4 linked regions of the Daphnia pulex genome follow. The protein of the gene in region 3 purifies or fractionates together with the protein of the main gene of each other region. This does not show direct contact. Links are inferred from orthologs where the notes say so. Each region holds a gene or a part of one and is shown on either strand. Other genes may lie near its edges.

The links.
Region 1: the proteins of dihydrolipoyl dehydrogenase, mitochondrial-like (region 3) and dihydrolipoyllysine-residue acetyltransferase component of pyruvate dehydrogenase complex, mitochondrial-like purify together in Homo sapiens (affinity purification with mass spectrometry; 4 studies listed by BioGRID and IntAct, counting the BioPlex papers as one, with this or other methods). This does not show direct contact. The link is inferred for Daphnia pulex from reciprocal best matches to the Homo sapiens genes DLD and DLAT.
Region 2: the proteins of dihydrolipoyl dehydrogenase, mitochondrial-like (region 3) and pyruvate dehydrogenase E1 component subunit beta, mitochondrial-like purify together in Homo sapiens (affinity purification with mass spectrometry; 3 studies listed by BioGRID and IntAct, counting the BioPlex papers as one, with this or other methods). This does not show direct contact. The link is inferred for Daphnia pulex from reciprocal best matches to the Homo sapiens genes DLD and PDHB.
Region 4: the proteins of dihydrolipoyl dehydrogenase, mitochondrial-like (region 3) and dihydrolipoyllysine-residue succinyltransferase component of 2-oxoglutarate dehydrogenase complex, mitochondrial-like purify together in Homo sapiens (affinity purification with mass spectrometry; 3 studies listed by BioGRID and IntAct, counting the BioPlex papers as one, with this or other methods). This does not show direct contact. The link is inferred for Daphnia pulex from reciprocal best matches to the Homo sapiens genes DLD and DLST.

What each region holds. Positions count from the first base shown.
Region 1 is NC_060017.1:7,713,927-7,718,240, reverse strand, and holds dihydrolipoyllysine-residue acetyltransferase component of pyruvate dehydrogenase complex, mitochondrial-like, read right to left. Parts: upstream 2,854-4,314; 5' UTR 2,702-2,853; coding exon 2,583-2,701; intron 2,378-2,582; coding exon 2,193-2,377; intron 2,126-2,192; coding exon 1,847-2,125; intron 1,784-1,846; coding exon 1,461-1,783; intron 1,381-1,460; coding exon 1,211-1,380; intron 1,093-1,210; exon of another isoform or gene 1,021-1,092; intron 931-1,020; coding exon 768-930; intron 709-767; coding exon 439-708; 3' UTR 238-438; downstream 1-237. Other genes in the region: polypeptide N-acetylgalactosaminyltransferase 1-like, read left to right, coding at 1-10; cyclic AMP-responsive element-binding protein 5-like, read left to right, coding at 3,008-3,058, 3,141-3,243, 3,363-3,449, 3,511-4,178, 4,245-4,314.
Region 2 is NC_060026.1:4,317,852-4,321,406, forward strand, and holds pyruvate dehydrogenase E1 component subunit beta, mitochondrial-like, read right to left. Parts: upstream 2,343-3,555; 5' UTR 2,248-2,342; coding exon 2,209-2,247; intron 2,131-2,208; coding exon 2,071-2,130; intron 2,016-2,070; coding exon 1,809-2,015; intron 1,743-1,808; coding exon 1,651-1,742; intron 1,576-1,650; coding exon 1,452-1,575; intron 1,379-1,451; coding exon 1,198-1,378; intron 1,128-1,197; coding exon 894-1,127; intron 828-893; coding exon 679-827; 3' UTR 517-678; downstream 1-516. Other genes in the region: neurotrimin-like, read right to left, coding at 3,373-3,515. UniProt on the Homo sapiens protein: The pyruvate dehydrogenase complex catalyzes the overall conversion of pyruvate to acetyl-CoA and CO(2), and thereby links the glycolytic pathway to the tricarboxylic cycle.
Region 3 is NC_060019.1:6,199,967-6,204,218, forward strand, and holds dihydrolipoyl dehydrogenase, mitochondrial-like, read left to right. Parts: upstream 1-1,450; 5' UTR 1,451-1,555; coding exon 1,556-1,597; intron 1,598-1,788; coding exon 1,789-2,059; intron 2,060-2,118; coding exon 2,119-2,294; intron 2,295-2,358; coding exon 2,359-2,529; intron 2,530-2,617; coding exon 2,618-2,839; intron 2,840-2,909; coding exon 2,910-3,046; intron 3,047-3,118; coding exon 3,119-3,308; intron 3,309-3,363; coding exon 3,364-3,501; intron 3,502-3,569; coding exon 3,570-3,659; intron 3,660-3,727; coding exon 3,728-3,796; 3' UTR 3,797-3,925; downstream 3,926-4,252. Other genes in the region: dnaJ protein homolog 1-like, read right to left, coding at 1-165, 228-606, 673-897; tRNA-dihydrouridine(20a/20b) synthase [NAD(P)+]-like, read right to left, coding at 3,944-4,161, 4,239-4,252. UniProt on the Homo sapiens protein: Lipoamide dehydrogenase is a component of the glycine cleavage system as well as an E3 component of three alpha-ketoacid dehydrogenase complexes (pyruvate-, alpha-ketoglutarate-, and branched-chain amino acid-dehydrogenase complex).
Region 4 is NC_060017.1:2,842,811-2,847,066, forward strand, and holds dihydrolipoyllysine-residue succinyltransferase component of 2-oxoglutarate dehydrogenase complex, mitochondrial-like, read left to right. Parts: upstream 1-1,432; 5' UTR 1,433-1,655; coding exon 1,656-1,748; intron 1,749-1,897; coding exon 1,898-2,021; intron 2,022-2,084; coding exon 2,085-2,156; intron 2,157-2,359; coding exon 2,360-2,521; intron 2,522-2,587; coding exon 2,588-2,823; intron 2,824-2,886; coding exon 2,887-3,056; intron 3,057-3,117; coding exon 3,118-3,316; intron 3,317-3,383; coding exon 3,384-3,635; intron 3,636-3,722; coding exon 3,723-3,857; 3' UTR 3,858-4,202; downstream 4,203-4,256. Other genes in the region: RNA-binding protein 25-like, read left to right, coding at 61-180, 245-390, 456-602, 668-763; iron-sulfur cluster assembly 2 homolog, mitochondrial-like, read right to left, coding at 884-1,058, 1,118-1,371. UniProt on the Homo sapiens protein: Dihydrolipoamide succinyltransferase (E2) component of the 2-oxoglutarate dehydrogenase complex. The 2-oxoglutarate dehydrogenase complex catalyzes the overall conversion of 2-oxoglutarate to succinyl-CoA and CO(2).

The sequences.
Region 1 (4,314 bases), on a different chromosome or scaffold from region 3:
ATGGAGTTGATGTCACTAAACCCTGATAAACCGTCAGCTCATTAGCTTGGCTTTGTGCAATCTTCCCAGTTTCTCACACCCCGCCTTATTCACTTACCATGTTAACTCAAGTGTTTATTTCAATGTCACTTGAAGACTTAACTTAAAATGACGGCATGAGCTCAATTCAATTTATATTTAATTGATTTGTTGTCTCACGTGTTGCTTGTTAAATTCAAAGAATAAATTACGAGGATATTTCGTCAGCACTTTTTTATTTGTCCCCTACTATTCACAGGGTTTTTTAACAGAATAACAGTACAGATCTGAAAAATGGTAATCCAATTTGATTTTAAAACAAAAAACTTAGGATCAACTAGATTTCCTAATTCAACTAAACTACCTTACTTTTAAGATACAACATACATTCACGAAGGTTGCTTTGCTAGATATTTTTTTTTACAAAAGCATTGTGCTAGGCTTTTCAAGGTAACTCTTGAAAGCAGCCAGCCACTGGGCGCCGACTGCACCATCCACAACACGATGGTCGCTACTCAACGTCACAGTCATGACATTGGCAGCACGGAAACCTTGCTCAGCGGATGCATCAACTACCAGTCGTTTTTCAGTTCCTCCAACTGCCAGAATGCATGACTGGGGTGGGTTTATGATGGCAGTGAAATTTCGAACTCCAAACATTCCAAGGTTCGAGATGGAAAAAGTGCCGCCCTATTTAACAAAATTTGGATTAAATAGTTATTTACTTAAATCAATCTTCGATTTATTACCTGAAATTCGTGGGGCTGAAGTTTTCCATCGCGAGCTTTGCCAGCTAATGTGCGTACATCAGCACTGATAGAAGCGAGACCTTTTCTCTCAGCATTAAAGACGATAGGTGTAATAAGACCACGATCTGTGCTCACGGCTACACTAATATCCACCGTGTCATACCTATAAGCAAAAATAGTTCCTTTACTGACATGTCATAACATTTTCAACACATATGTAAAAATAATGAATAAAAATCTTGAAAAAAAGGAGAGGGGGCACCCGGGTTTGAACCGGGGACCTCTCGATCTGCAGTCGAATGCTCTACCACTGAGCTATACCCCCTATGCTATGATACAAACAAGTAGTCGGGTTATCGCTGCGCAAGTCACGTGTTCATGACACGCGACATGCGAAATAGAAAAATCTAGCATGAACCAGTTCAATGAGAGAATTGACTTACTGTCTAATGAAAGTTTCTTGCCACGATGAATTTACTTCAGGAACTTTACGGCAAGCTAGAGCAGCAGCTTTAATGACAAAATCGTTAACACTCAGCTTGGCCCCATCCTTTCCTAGTAGTGCATTAAATTCCTGACGAAGTGAAAGTACTGAATCCATGGTAACGTCCACCTAGCGTAAGAAGTTGCATCATTATTTACATTATACAATATTTCTCTATCACACAATATTTAAGAAAACCGAGTTATTACCGTCAAATAATAATGAGGGATAGATTGTTTGGACTGTAGTAAACGTTTTGCGATAACACCACGGATATTAGTTACAGGAAGATCCGTATATTTTTGTCCAGCAACTGCTTGAATAGGAGCAGCTGCAGTTGGTGGAACTGCAGCAACGGGTTTCGGAGCCACAGACAATTTATCAAGGTCTTTAGCTGTGATCGATCCTTCGAATCCTGAACCACCAGATACAGATGCCAATGAAATTCCTTTCTCGGCAGCCATTTTTTTAGCCAATGGTGACGCAAATACCCTCTCAGAAGAAGTTGCGGCGGTGGATGAGGGTACTGGAGCTAAGGATGTAACTTGTAAATAAGGTGTGCATTATGTAATGCATGAAAAATAAAATGGCATACCAGCTGTAGCAACTGATGATTGAGATGGAGTAATGATTTCTGGTTGTTGAGAAGCTGGTGGAGCAGCAACAGCAGCCCCATCGTCTTTGAAATCTTTGAAAGCTGCTACATCTTCAGCCTTTTCAACAATGATGCAAACCAATTTTCCAATTGGAACATCTTTGGAGCCAGCAGGGATCATAATTTTAGCCAAGTATCCTTCTTCTGGAGTTTCAAATCCCATAGTGGCCTTATCGGTTTCAATTTCAGCTAGAAGGTCTCCCTCATTAAGTTTGTCACCTAAAAAAATATATATACAAGCAAATGAGTGATTAAAAGAAATTTACTATTAAAGGTGTATGTATACCTTCTTGCTTTTCCCAACTAATAAGAGTTCCAGATTCCATGGTAGGAGACAATGCGGGCAGTTCAACTCTTTTATGGGAAGGAAGTGTACCACTGGCATACATCCTTACTGATGTTTTATGGAGTCCAGTTATGATAGAGACTGTTGAATACCCAGTGCTCTTGTCAACATATGTTTCTCCACGTCTAGAAAGTAAACCACCAGTAAAATGCTTGCAGACAATAATAGCAGATCGTCAATCCACTTATTTCATACATACTTTCTAAGATAATGTAATCTTTTATATATTTTGATAAAATTTAGATAAATAGTATTGATACACAATTGTATGTATGGGAAATCATAGGGAAAAAACGCTTTTGCTCCTGCTAGTTGAAAAACTATGATTACCTTGAAATATCCTTCTGAAACACAACCGTCGAAAGTTTCCTTGCAGCTCGTGTTTTCGTTGCATTTTCCAAAGTAATCTTTGCAACACAAGCCTTTCGAACTAACGATGATCGGAACATTTTCAAGGAATTATATGAGCGGAACTGGAAGTGGAAATCACGGTGTGCTCATATGAAGAAGACGAAGGCAGGTTAGAACAGCTGATTTTTTGGTAACCCAAAAAACTGCAGTCTGCAGACCACAAGTCCACAACCCTAAAAGAGCGTAATGTAGTCTGCTATACCTTTCTTCTCAGTTCTGAGAATCTTTCGAAAGAAAAACCACTTGTGTACGATTGTAGATTGTTTACTTCAATATTTTCGTTAATTTTCGCGTTTTCTATTGCGCAATTGAATCGTTTAAAGATATTTCCCTCAAATACTCAAATGGTGGATGACGAGAAACCATTTCCTTGCTCCAGTCCTGGTTGTTCTATGGTAATAATTTGTAAACAGTTTTATTTAATGTTGACTGTTGGTGTTTTGCTATCTTATTCATTCATCGTTTTCGCAATTAAAGAGGTTCGCCAATGAAGACCACTTGAGTATTCATAAAAAGAGACACATGTCCCTTTCAATTGAATCAATTAGTAATAATGGCTCAAAGACACCTAATTTTGTGGGTGAGTTGATTTTTTTATGTCTAACTCTGTACTTCATTAATACAAATGAAATGTAAATTTTTGTGTTAATAAATTCTGTTACCCTTCCTTTGTATTAATCTAATTTTTAACTATTATAGCTGATGAAACCCCCACCCCAACAAGATTTATTAGAAACTGTGAAGAAGTTGGGCTTTTTCAAGATTTGAATGTCAATCCTTTTGATGGTAAAATGCCACTATTAACTACAGAAAACTTGTCAAAAATAGTTCAATTTGTTTTTTTTAGAGCAATTTAGAAGAGCAGCTGAGACTCATCTCAGTCCTCCTTCACTTCCCACATCAGATGATGTTCTCCACACTCCTCATGTCTTCCCTGTGCTTCCACTGGATTCAGATGTAGTTACACAGTTGCCTCCTCCCAAATCAGCTAATGTTAGAAAAAATTACCTCATGCCATCATTGTCCACATCAGAATGTCTGACTCTTCCATCTCCAGCAACAACTCCTGTACCAACTCCATTGATTACTGTAACAGCTCCTACAACCGAGTCCCAAGGATTTTTCAACAAAAGAGTAGATACAACGACCGCCACATTATCTGATTGCGGCAAAACAATTTCCACTTCAATAATTACCTGCAGTTCAAGAAAAGATCGACCGAAGAAAAACAACACTTTTCAAAGCAATTGCACAAAGACAGCCACAAACCCAACTGTGAATATTATGCCTCGTCCGATTGTTCAATCATCTGCCACCAGTGATCCTATGACATCGCTTCTGCTACGTCTTCCTGATGGACGTTTAGTTCAAATTCCTGCTATTCCTGTACCTACCGAAACTGACGCATCTAAAATAGTGAATCCTGCTGTAGGATCTCCATTGGCTCCTGTTGGCGTGGAACAAAGTAGTTGCAAAATTAAGTCAGCAAGACCAGTAATGTCGGAAGCCAAATTGGTACCAACAAAAATAATTTCTTTATCAATATCCTTTACTCTTCTCAACAATATTTTTAATTGATAGAAACTGAAACAAGCGCTAACGAAAGCTAAACCTGCAAATCAGCCTTTAAACGGAAATTCCCCTTGTGGCA
Region 2 (3,555 bases), on a different chromosome or scaffold from region 3:
GGCATTCACTATGCAGTATACACTATTCATTAATTAAAAAATGGATATGAAAATTTAAAATTTCAATCCGGTTTTTGCACGAATGAAATCTCATTCAAAGGTCTTGCGTGGTCCTTACAAAGCATTTATATTCCATATGAGCCATGACCCTTGATTGCGATTTTTCCTTCACGAGAACAAGCTTTTGAATCCAGACAATTATGTCCCATGGCAACTGGACTTGAATTAGTCGACTAGAATTTTGCAAAGCTGTTACTACTAAATCGTTCAGGTACTATACTCTTACAATGTCTCAGGTATCACGATTTTCCAGATTTCTTTGTTCTTAATTTTTTTTTTAAGTGATGGAACCCTGGCGAGTGGAGAAGTCACAAGATTTGAATTGATTTTGTAACAATTAGATGAAACGTTGCCTATTCCCTTAAGCCAAAATAACTAAAATGAGTCACCATTATAACAGGCAGGAATCAAATATGTAGTTATAAGTTACGTTAACTACCAATTAAAAGACAACAATTACAGTTAACAACTCGAAATTTCCGAGTTGATGCTTCTTTAGACTACCCATGAAGATTTACACATCGGCACGAGAAAAGAATGAGAGAGAAAGATAGTATACAAGATCTAGGAAATTTTTGATGTTGGTCTTGTCTCACTGGTGTGTCGAACTTAGTCCAACTATTGCACGTTCAGAATTTTCTTAACAACTCGGACCACATCTTTTCCTTGAGGAAGAGAATTATCTTCGAGAGTCTTGGCGTAGGGCATAGGGATATCAGCGCCGGTCACACGGACGGGTGGGGCATCGAGATAGTAAAATCCTGGGCCTTGAAATTCGCAATAACACAGATATATGAAACCGAATGCAGACTGGAGAAATCTTATTTAATTACCTTCAACCATTCGAGAAACAATTTCAGCGCCTACACCTGACTGTGGCCAGCCGTGCTCTACTGACACCAAGTGATTTGTCTTTTTCACCGATTCCATGACGGTATCAAAATCTAATGGTCGTAGACTTCGGAGATTGACCACCTCGGCTTCAATGCCAATGGCACTTAACTCCTTTGCGGCATCTAAACACGTAGCAACTGCTCGAGAGAAGGCTACCAAAGTTATGTGCTTACCTAGTTTAAGAAAACAAGTTAAGATAAGACAAAGAAATTTGTTTTTGTCTAAGAATATTTCACGTATTACCAACACGCTCGATTTTAGCTTTGCCAATGGGCACAATGAAGTCCTTTGACAAAACCTCGTCAGAAACGTCAAAAGCAGTTCCGTACATAATTTCGTTTTCTAGACATACGACAGGGTCAGGATCACGAATTGCAGCTTTCAGCAAACCTTTGGCATCTTCCGCGGAATAGGGAGCTACAACCTAAAACATCACCCCCAGGGAGTGAAGCTGTTATAATTATAGAACCACAGTTAAATAAAGAATTGTTGACTACCTTCAGGCCAGGACAGTGGCTATACCATGCACCAAAGCACTGTGAGTGCTGGGCAGCAACTCCAGCTGCAGCTCCATTAGGTCCTCTGAAGACAATGGGTACATTGACTAATCCAGCTGACATACTTAAATAAATGGAAGAATGAATAAAATAATTAAGATTCCAATATTTGAGGAAAAATTGAAGTAAGCATCCATACTAGAAGGTTTTAGCAGCTGAGTTAATTACATGATCAATTGCTTGCATCGAAAAGTTCCATGTCATGAATTCACAAATAGGTCGTAGTCCTCCCTGAGGATAGTTGGAAGGAAAGTTGAAAATATTTAGTCAGTAAAACTTGTTACACTTCAAACTTACCATAGCAGCACCTGTGGCAATACCAGCAAAGCCCATCTCAGTGATGGGGGTATCAATGACACGTTTATCGCCATACTTTTTCCACAAGCCCCTAGAAATCTTGTAGGCTCCATCATACTGAGCAACTTCTTCACCCAGAATGAAAACTCGCTCATCCCTTTCCATTTCTTCATCAATGGCGGAGTTGAGGGCATCTCTCACTGTAAGCTAAAATGAAATATGAGCCTTTAGCATTCAAGCAACCTGCTATTACCGTCCATACCTGTGCAGAGGCTGGACGAGAAGTGGATATTCCTCGTAGTCCAACATATTTAAAAGCATTCTGTTTCGGGAAATGAGTATGAAAATGAATAAAAACAGTAATAATAATAGCAGATATGATTATGCAAGCTACTTTTACCTTTAACATCATTGTGGATTTCGCAAGAGGAGCCGCCATAGCCGGTCGTGTGCTTTATACAGAAAGGCGTGATCAGCTGATCGTGATCGACTTATTAATAGAACGCATAGTTTTTCACATAACCGGTAGGTGGAGGAAAAGGCGCTTCAGCATGCGCAACCAAGTAGCGCAGACACGACATCAAGCACATTGAATATTTTCATTTTTTTTTTGTCATTTTGAACATAAAAGCTGCATATTTGTTCTTATTTAGGCCTATGTATGCTTTTGTATTACACATTAAAAGTACGACCACATAAGTCTAAGTTTATGTTGCAGCACTTCCTGTGAAACAAAACCTCTTATTCCGGCTCCGGCGAGTGCTGGATTCAGTTGATTTCCGCAAAAACGGTTAGCAACTAATCCCATTGGTTGGATATGAGGCAAACGGAAGCATTATAATTACCGTTTGAGCTATTGGATTGGAAGTGATCGGAAGTGATTGTGCCCATCAATTATTATTAGATTTGATTTTGACGCTTTGATTTATCGCCATTATTGTGGAAAAGTGCCTGACCTAGCATCTTTGGAATATAATGTACCCCTAGTTTTTGGTATTCTTTAATATCTGGATTAAATTAAGCACACTACACACCAGTGAAACAAGACTAAAATGTAAAATTTCCTAGATATTGTATTATACTTTTCCGCTTTCGTCTTTGTTCTAGTGCCGATGTGTCAATCTTGATGGATAGCCGTCTGATGAAACAACTCGGGAAAGGTCGAGTTGTCAACTGTCGTAATTGGTTTGTTGTGTTTAAAAAACGAGTATAGTTAGAAGTTTTTACGTTTTGTCGTCGACGGCTTCGTTTTATATATAGGTGAAATTATTTAGTATTTCGTGCTCATTTCATTGAGGAACAAGGGAAATTGGAAAGTTTGAGAGAAGATATATAGAACCATGGAATAGAACATACAATTTACACGGGAGGAGTAAAACGAAGAAAAAGTGACACACAGTTTGGAATGGATGCGATACAGATCTGTACAGGAGATAAATAACCACAGACATATATTATATTGCAACAATGAGACTCGTCCGAACAAACAGACATTCCGACCATTTCACATTTGAACGTCAAAAGAAAACAAACGCAGAAGAATTGAATCATTTGCAATCGACATTCACCAAGTAGATCTCCGCCTCGCCGTGTTAAAGGTAGTAGTGGCTTTGACGTTTATTACAACACTGTTGATCGCCGTCCATCCGATTAGAATGAAGGTTGTTGCAACCCACGTCCACGAAGAGATCGTACAACTTGACGAACCTAAATGACGAAATAATAATTAGAATAATTAGTCAGTCGC
Region 3 (4,252 bases):
CTGCGGGTATCTTGTTGGGCGTCTGGTCCCCTTCTCGCTGGAACGTGATTTTTGTTCCTGCTTTCCAGCCTGGCTTGACGTTTATGGTTAATACTTTGTCTTCTTTTTTAGACGTGCCATCTGCCTGGTAAACTTTGCGGGAGATTTTCATCTTTTTGGTACATCCTAAAAATAGCCAGCAAAGTAAATCACAAATCCAAGAACTGAGTATTACAAAATAAATTTACCTTTAAGAACTTCTTCTAATGTGACGTTAAGGTCGTATTCAATGGGCGGATCTTGTACTTTCTCTTTTCCCATTCCTGGCCCGTGCATGTTGAAACTCTGAGATCGGAAAGCTCCCCCGGGATTTCTTCCTCCAAATCCCAAGTTGATAAAAGGGTCATCCACGTCCATGTCTTCACCACCTTCTGGAAAGAATCCTCTGTTTCCACCTTGCTGCTGTTGACCCATTCCACCCATTGTGAAGAAGGATTCAAAAGGGTTGGATGAACCGAAAAATTGAGCAAACGTGGCCCTTGGATCACCATGATAGGCGTAGGAAAAGCTGGCACCCGGACCGCCGCCGCCTCCTCCTCCGCCGCCACCACCACTTCCCAATCCACCCTTTTTAAGTACAAATATGATGTAAAAACTTAAGTCATTTAATAGGAGAATAGTTCATTTTCTTACCTTTAATCCTTCTTCTCCATACTGATCAAAGACATCTCTCTTCTTTTTGTCACTTAAAACTTCATATGCTTCTGCTACCTCCTTAAATTTGTCTTCTGCACCTGGTGCTTTATTTTTATCAGGGTGGTATTTCAATGCCAGTTTACGGTATGCCTTCTTGATTTCATCATCAGTAGCTGATTTTGATATTCCAAGAATTTTGTAATAATCTTTTCCCATTTTCATGAAGGAAGCCTAGAATGTATTGGAAAGTGAAAACTAAACAAAAGAGAACTTGATTAATGGAGGGTAATTGGATTTTGCTTGGGGATAACTGAATTTTAAAAAACTCAATATGTTTAAAATAATCTAAGTAGGAAATTCTTAAGGAAAAGAGGGAGAGTAACAAAACGGTGTGATGCGTGATGCCCAAAGAAGGTCAACGATTCAGGGTCGTCGATGACGTCGACTTCTAAGTTTGGACTGTGACACAATTTAACCCACCACCAATACGTACTAGTTAAAACGTTTGATTATTACCTTTCTGTATTACAGAATAGTAGAGCTTGGACTCGAAACACTTAAATGATAAAACGTTTGTTTTATTGGAACACTAGTTGTTCGCAAGAGTAGATTTCTCGACTTAATCGACTCGTACAAGTCACAGCTTCAAATAGCGAGAAAATGAGCCCCAGCGAGTGTATGTATCCGTTTGTTATGAATCGAGAACGTTCTCAAATAGTCTGGAAAACACGTTTCCATCTCCTGGTGGAAAGAAAAACAATTTGTAAGTTTTAACATAGTTCACCCTTTCTAGTACAGATGGTGATAGTGTCGCTGAACAGCTGAACAACTTCTGACCGCTGGGAAAAAGCTCGTGAAATCGTGAAGAACTAAAATAAAAATGCAAGTTAATATTTTGAGTAAATTGCCTCAAAATCTTAAGGTATTTCCATTGCATTCAAAAAATTATCTATTATAAAAATTTAAAAAGTATTTCGTCACCGTACTAATGCGATTCAACGTATTTTAACTGTTTATTGGGGACCAAGACATGTTGAGCCTTCTTTTTTCTTTAATCTGGTGTAGCTATTAAAAAGAATAAACTTATTATGTAATATCTTTTCTTGGTTACAGGTCACTGCAGCTGTCAGGAACCAATTAGCTAACTGCAGATGGTACTCTGACAGTACTGAAGCTGATCTGGTGGTCATTGGCTCGGGCCCTGGTGGTTATGTGGCAGCTATCAAGGCTGCCCAGCTGGGAATGAAAACAGTCTGTGTAGAGAAAAATGCAACCCTTGGAGGCACTTGCCTTAATGTTGGCTGCATTCCTTCCAAAGCACTATTGAATAATTCTCACTACTATCACATGGCCCAAAGTGAATTCAAAAATAGAGGAATTGATGGTGATTAATTATTTTAAGATTTATAATGTGAACTGAATTAAATCAATACTTTTCTCTAGTTACTGGCCTTTCATTGAACCTTCCTCAAATGATGAAAGCAAAAGAAACAGCTGTGAAATCTTTAACTGGAGGAATTGCTCATTTATTCAAGAGCAACAAAGTGACACACATCAGAGGACATGGTAAAATTACTGGTGCGAATGAAGTTACTGCTCTTAAAGAAGATGGAACCCAGGTATTAATTAATAATATTAACTGTGTATTTCATGGAAAATTCTATTTTGTTTTCATCTCGGTAGGAAATCGTCCGAACCAAGAATATTTTGATCGCAACGGGATCAGAAGTGACACCATTCCCCGGAATCGATATCGATGAAGAACAAATTGTCTCGTCTACTGGCGCACTTTGTTTAAAAACCGTTCCAGAGAAAATGATTGTCATCGGAGCAGGAGTCATTGGTTTGGAATTGGTAACATTTACTTTATTTGACATAAAAAAGCTTTAAAAAAATAATATTTAAAAAAAAAAAAAATTCTTAATTAATTAAATAATTATAGGGATCAGTGTGGTCTCGACTTGGAGCCAAGGTGACGGCTGTTGAATTTATGAATCAAATCGGTGGTTTGGGTATTGATCAAGAAATGGCAAAATCGTTCCAAAGAATCCTCACCAAACAACACATGCAATTTAAATTGGGAACCAAAGTGTTGGGAGCACAAAAATCCGGCGGAAAAATCATTGTGAACGTCGAAAATGTCAAATCTGCCAAGAAAGAAGAGGTACTAAACAACACCTCTCCCCTATCCATGGACATACCGTTCTAATTTTATCATATGCCTGATAATTCAGATGGATTGCGACGTTCTACTGGTTTGTGTTGGTCGCCGTCCCTTCACGAAGAGTTTAGGTCTTGAAGAAATGTCCATCGAACTCGACCAGAGAGGAAGAATTCCGGTCAATTCACGTTTCCAGTCCGTTGTCCCCAAGTGAGTATCACCTTACTTAAACGTCTCGGTATAGTGTGTTCTGTACTACATGAAATGTGTTAAACTCGGTAGCATCTACGCCATTGGTGATTGCATTCTCGGCCCCATGCTGGCCCACAAAGCTGAAGATGAAGGCATTATCTGTGTCGAAGGAATTGCAGGAGGATCCGTTCACATCGACTACAACTGCGTACCTTCCGTCATTTACACACACCCTGAAGTTGCTTGGGTTGGAAAATCCGAAGAGGACTTGAAATCAATGGTAATTTCCTAATATTTATACCCTTTTTTAACTTATCATGCTTTATTGAATTTAGGGAGTTGAATACAAAATTGGTAAATTCCCCTTCGCCGCCAACAGCCGCGCCAAGACAAACGATGATACCGATGGTATGGTTAAAATCTTAGGAGACAAGACTACTGATCGCCTTCTTGGAGCTCACATAATTGGACCCGTACGTTATCTTTTGTTTCTACCATGTCATTTAAATTGTAATAAATTACATTTGATGATATTATTCAGGGTGCCGGCGAAATGATCAACGAAGCCGCATTAGCCATGGAATATGGTGCTTCCTGCGAAGACATTGCCCGCGTTTGCCACGCCCATCCGGTATACTAATAATTTGAATTATTGTCCAAGAAAATATTTTCGTCTAACTTCGTTTTTCTCATTTACAGACCTGCTCGGAAGCACTGAGGGAAGCCAGTCTCGCAGCTTTCTCCGGCAAAGCCATCAATTTCTCATAAGCGTTAGCAAGCTTAGATTATAATATAGATAATTCTATGGATTCCCCCATTCTTTAACTGCAGTCCTTGTATGAGGTTGTATGTGTGTAAAAAAAGAAACAAGCTTAAATATAAACGCCTAACATAAAATTCAACCGAAATCATTCTTTATTCACATAAAGACAAGTAATTTTCCATATAGTCGATCACGGCAGTGGTACTGGACAGCGCATTAAAATATCTCCTGTCGACTCGTGACATATTTTTCTCGCACATGTAGATGAGATGATGATGAAAGTGAGTGAAGGAGATACCAGTTTCTAAAGAAAGCTTCATCCAGTCTTTGATGCACTCGATGGGAGTTTCGGAGAATCCAGCAAACATTGCTAAACAAACAGTAGCAAAAGCCAAAATATTAAATCAAATGCTATAAGAAACATGGAGAATAAGATGTTTCAATTACCTGGATTTTCTAAG
Region 4 (4,256 bases), on a different chromosome or scaffold from region 3:
TGGCCATCGATTGCCCAACCAACATATGTATAACTAATTGTTTCTCTTTCTGTATTACAGGATCACAGGGACCCAGTTTAGTATTCAATAAGCGGAAAAAGCTGGAAATCAAAGCCGTTTTCAATGCTGATGAAGACGATACAGACACGACCAAGAAGAAACGGAAACTTGTACCTCTTGGTAACATAATCAGATATTTTCTTTTCCGTAACATTTCTGTTTTAATTAATTTCTTTTCCAATAGACTATGGCGATGAACTTGCTAAAAAGGAAAAAGAGCCCAAGAACACAGAGGAGAAGAGAAAAAATATCAAGAGTCTTATCGAGAAAATTCCAACGGATAAAGCATCCCTCTTTGCTCATCCTGTTGAGTGGAGCTTAGTGGACAATGTAAACAATGAACAAGTACGCGTTGTCGAATAACCACTTAAATTCTTGTTTTATTTTCTCCATAGGTGATAATGGAGCGGCGGATTAAACCGTGGGTCAATAAAAAGATCGTGGAGTACATCGGAGAGCCCGAGCCTACTCTAGTTGAATTCATTTGTTCCAAAGTATTGATAGGAAGCCAACCACAAAATATCATCAATGATGTTCAGATGGTAAGGTCTTAATTTCTATAAATTCTAAAATGTAATTCCTATTTTAACAATTTTATTTTTATTAGGTACTTGATGAAGAAGCAGAGGTCTTTGTTGTCAAGATGTGGCGCTTATTGATCTATGAATTAGAAGCAAAGAAATTGGGTCTCATGACTAAGTGAAAAGGGGTGATTGCATTGGGTCTCTATTTTGCAATTGGTTGTTGTTACATTCACCCCATATTATGTACAACTAATTACACAGCAATTTGACAAAAACACTGCTTTGAATAGATTTTTAAATCAAACTTTGAGAGAAAATGAAGCACCACATGAACAACCACTTTCAGCTTTGGGGTTCTTCAATATGTGGAAGGCAGAGCGGATCAACTCAGACTGGAAATCAATTGTTGCTCCTTCAAGGTATTGCATGGAATCTTTGTCAATAAAGACTCTCGCACCATCTCTTTCAACCACACTGTTTTAATGAAAACTGTCAAAAATTATGTTGATTTAGTTTAGTTTTTAAGTACAAACCAGTCATCTTCATTTGCCGTGGTGTCCAAATTAAACAAGTACTGAAATCCCGAACATCCTCCTCCTTCTACCGATATCCGAAGCGTTTTCTCTGGGGATTTTTTATGCAGTTCCTTCAATCGTTGGACGCACTTATCCGTCATCTTTATAGATCCTTGTACGGTATCCATTTGAACAGCATTGTTTAAAGATGAGAATGCCGAAATATGTGATGGGAATCTGGTTAACCGGTTTACTAATGCCGCATAAAACATTGTTATTGTTTAGCAGAAATATCACGTAACAATACGAAAACGAAACGAATTCAGACGAAAAAAAGCACAACCACAGTTGCATTTTACTTTTATTTTGAAAAACTCGTCATAAAATTCTTAATTCCCGGTTTATTCATACACGAAGATAAAATAACGTTTTTAATTCTAAAATTTTAATTTAAAATTTTGAAGGAGAGTTTTTATATTGTTTTTAAAGTTAACCAGCAAAGTCAAATTTCATTCGCAACTAACATCAAGATCAGCCGAAGTCGAACAGAAAAATCATGGCTGCTCTACGTCTCTCCCTAGGCTCTTCGAAGCAAATTGCAAAAGTATTTCGTGGCAATTTCAGAGTTTCGGCTTGTTTCAAACATCAGGTTATACATGTTTATATAAGAGTAAATAATAAAATAAAAATGTGTCAATGAAGTTCCTTGTACCTTGGATGATTTTGCCACATCCTGTTGGTTACTTTCATCTTACAATTAATTTAATGATATTTCTTCTTATTTGTTTTTTATCTCAGGAAACATGTGAAATTGGTATTCAAGAGCCTAGCTACCTGTCCATCCAACAGCGAAATGATGTGAGGTGCCAATGGAATCCAATCACAGTTTTCAGTCGAGGATTCAGAACTTCTGCAGTACTAGGTGAAATTCACTAGTTCCAAATGGCAATAAATAGTCATAATAATAAAAAAATACTTTTTTTAGGAGATGCGAAAACTGTGATGGTACCACCATTTGCAGACTCCATCAGTGAGGGTGATGTAAGATGGGATAAAGGTATGCTTCTTCCAGAGAGTATTGGTACAACTGTATTAGTAGCACAGAAATGATCTTTGAGTGAAAATGTCAATCTTGAAGCTTAATTTCAGTATTTTCAAGTCAAAGATTTCAAATCATTTTGCGTCCTTTTTTTTCAACTTGATAGACTTGCACCTGTGGATCTTATGGTGTTTTTCATAGAATGTTTTTGTTTTCTTTAGCTGTTGGTGATACAGTCCAAGAAGATGAAGAAGTATGCCATATTGAAACGGACAAAACATCGATCCCGGTTAAAGCCCCTTGCAGTGGGGTCATTACTGAGTTGTGCGTTAGTGATGGTGCTACTGTTCAACCCGGAGCTAAACTCTTTATTATGAGTGCAGGTAACTATTATGCTACCAGAAAATTTCTACATTTTTAAAATAAATTTAAACCGTTTCTTAATCTAGGAGGTGCTGCCAAAGCTGCTGCTCCCGCTGCTGCTGCTGCTGCTGCTCCTCCAACACCTTCACCAGCTGCTCCTGCTCCTCCACCGCCTACCCCTGCCGCCCAACCTGTTTCTGGTGCGATCCCATCAACACCTCCTCCTCGCCCATCCCCTCCAACAACCCCTATTTCTGCCATCCCAGCAGCAAGCATCCAACCTCGGGTTGCTGCTCCTGTTAACGTTACGCAGACGTCCCAAGTACGAATTAAATGTCATTCCCCCATCATTTTAACCTTTTTCTTAATTTTTTCTTATCTCTAGGCTGTTCCCCTAGCCCGTCTTCCACCTGCAGATTATAGCAAGGAAATTACTGGCACAAGAACCGAACAACGCGTTAAAATGAACCGCATGCGACTGCGTATTGCTCAGCGGCTGAAGGAAGCCCAAAATGTCAACGCTATGTTGACAACTTTTAACGAAATTGATATGAGGTAGTATGCCATTGTCTCTTGATGCCATAGGTGGATTAACGTATTTCGTTTAAATTCACAGCAACATCATGGAGCTGAGAAAAACACACGGTGACGCCTTCTTGAAAGTTCACAAAATCAAGTTGGGTTTCATGTCAGCTTTCGTCAAGGCCGCGGCTTGCGCCCTTGCTGATCAACCTACTGTCAATGCCGTCATCGACGGAAATGAAATCGTCTATCGCGATTACATCGACATATCTGTGGCGGTTGCCACACCAAAAGTAATTCTGCTACAGTTTAGCATTAAGAGTTAAATTATTAATAAATTTTTTTGTTTTAAATTTGAAGGGTTTGGTGGTGCCTGTTCTACGTAATCTAGATTCTATGAACTATGCTGACATTGAAAAGGCTATTGCCGCAATGGGTGAGAAGGCAAAGAACAACGCATTGGCTGTAGAAGATATGGATGGAGGTACTTTTACCATCTCCAACGGTGGAGTCTTCGGCTCATTATTCGGTACCCCAATCATCAACCCTCCGCAATCTGCTATTTTGGGCATGCATGGAATTTTTGATCGTCCCGTCGCACGCAATGGCCAGGTACGATAGACTAAAATTAATAACTAACGACTCATCAAAACAGATATCAATCACGAGTTGTTATTATATTTAAATTGATTTCTTTAGGTGGTTATTCGTCCCATGATGTTCGTAGCTTTGACTTACGACCATCGGCTTATCGACGGCAGGGAAGCTGTGACTTTCTTGCGCAAAATCAAGCAGACAATCGAAGACCCCCGTACTCTGCTCTTATCAATCTAAGATAAGCTTTTCATAGAAAGGGACTTTATATATTGCGAATCATTTATAGGAAGCACTAGTTTAAAGTTCCCGATTCAGTTGCATTCTACGAATCTAGAAGGAAACATGAGAGTTATAAATAATAATAAAAAAATAAAAAGAATCGAGTGTTCCCTTAAACACACTGAACTGCGTTCGTCTGTTTTCGGTCTTTTTTCTTTATTCTTCTTTATTTCGTTTTCTACCCCTAGGTGGCAGTGAAAGACGAATCACGTATGAAAATCTTCTTTATTTCGTTTTCTACCCCTAGGTGGCAGTGAAAGACGAATCACGTATGAAAATACACTATTTCTGTTTGAATCATCACAAAATCCGTGTGCTCCTGATCCTTTTAGTAAGGATTAAAGACAACTTAACCAT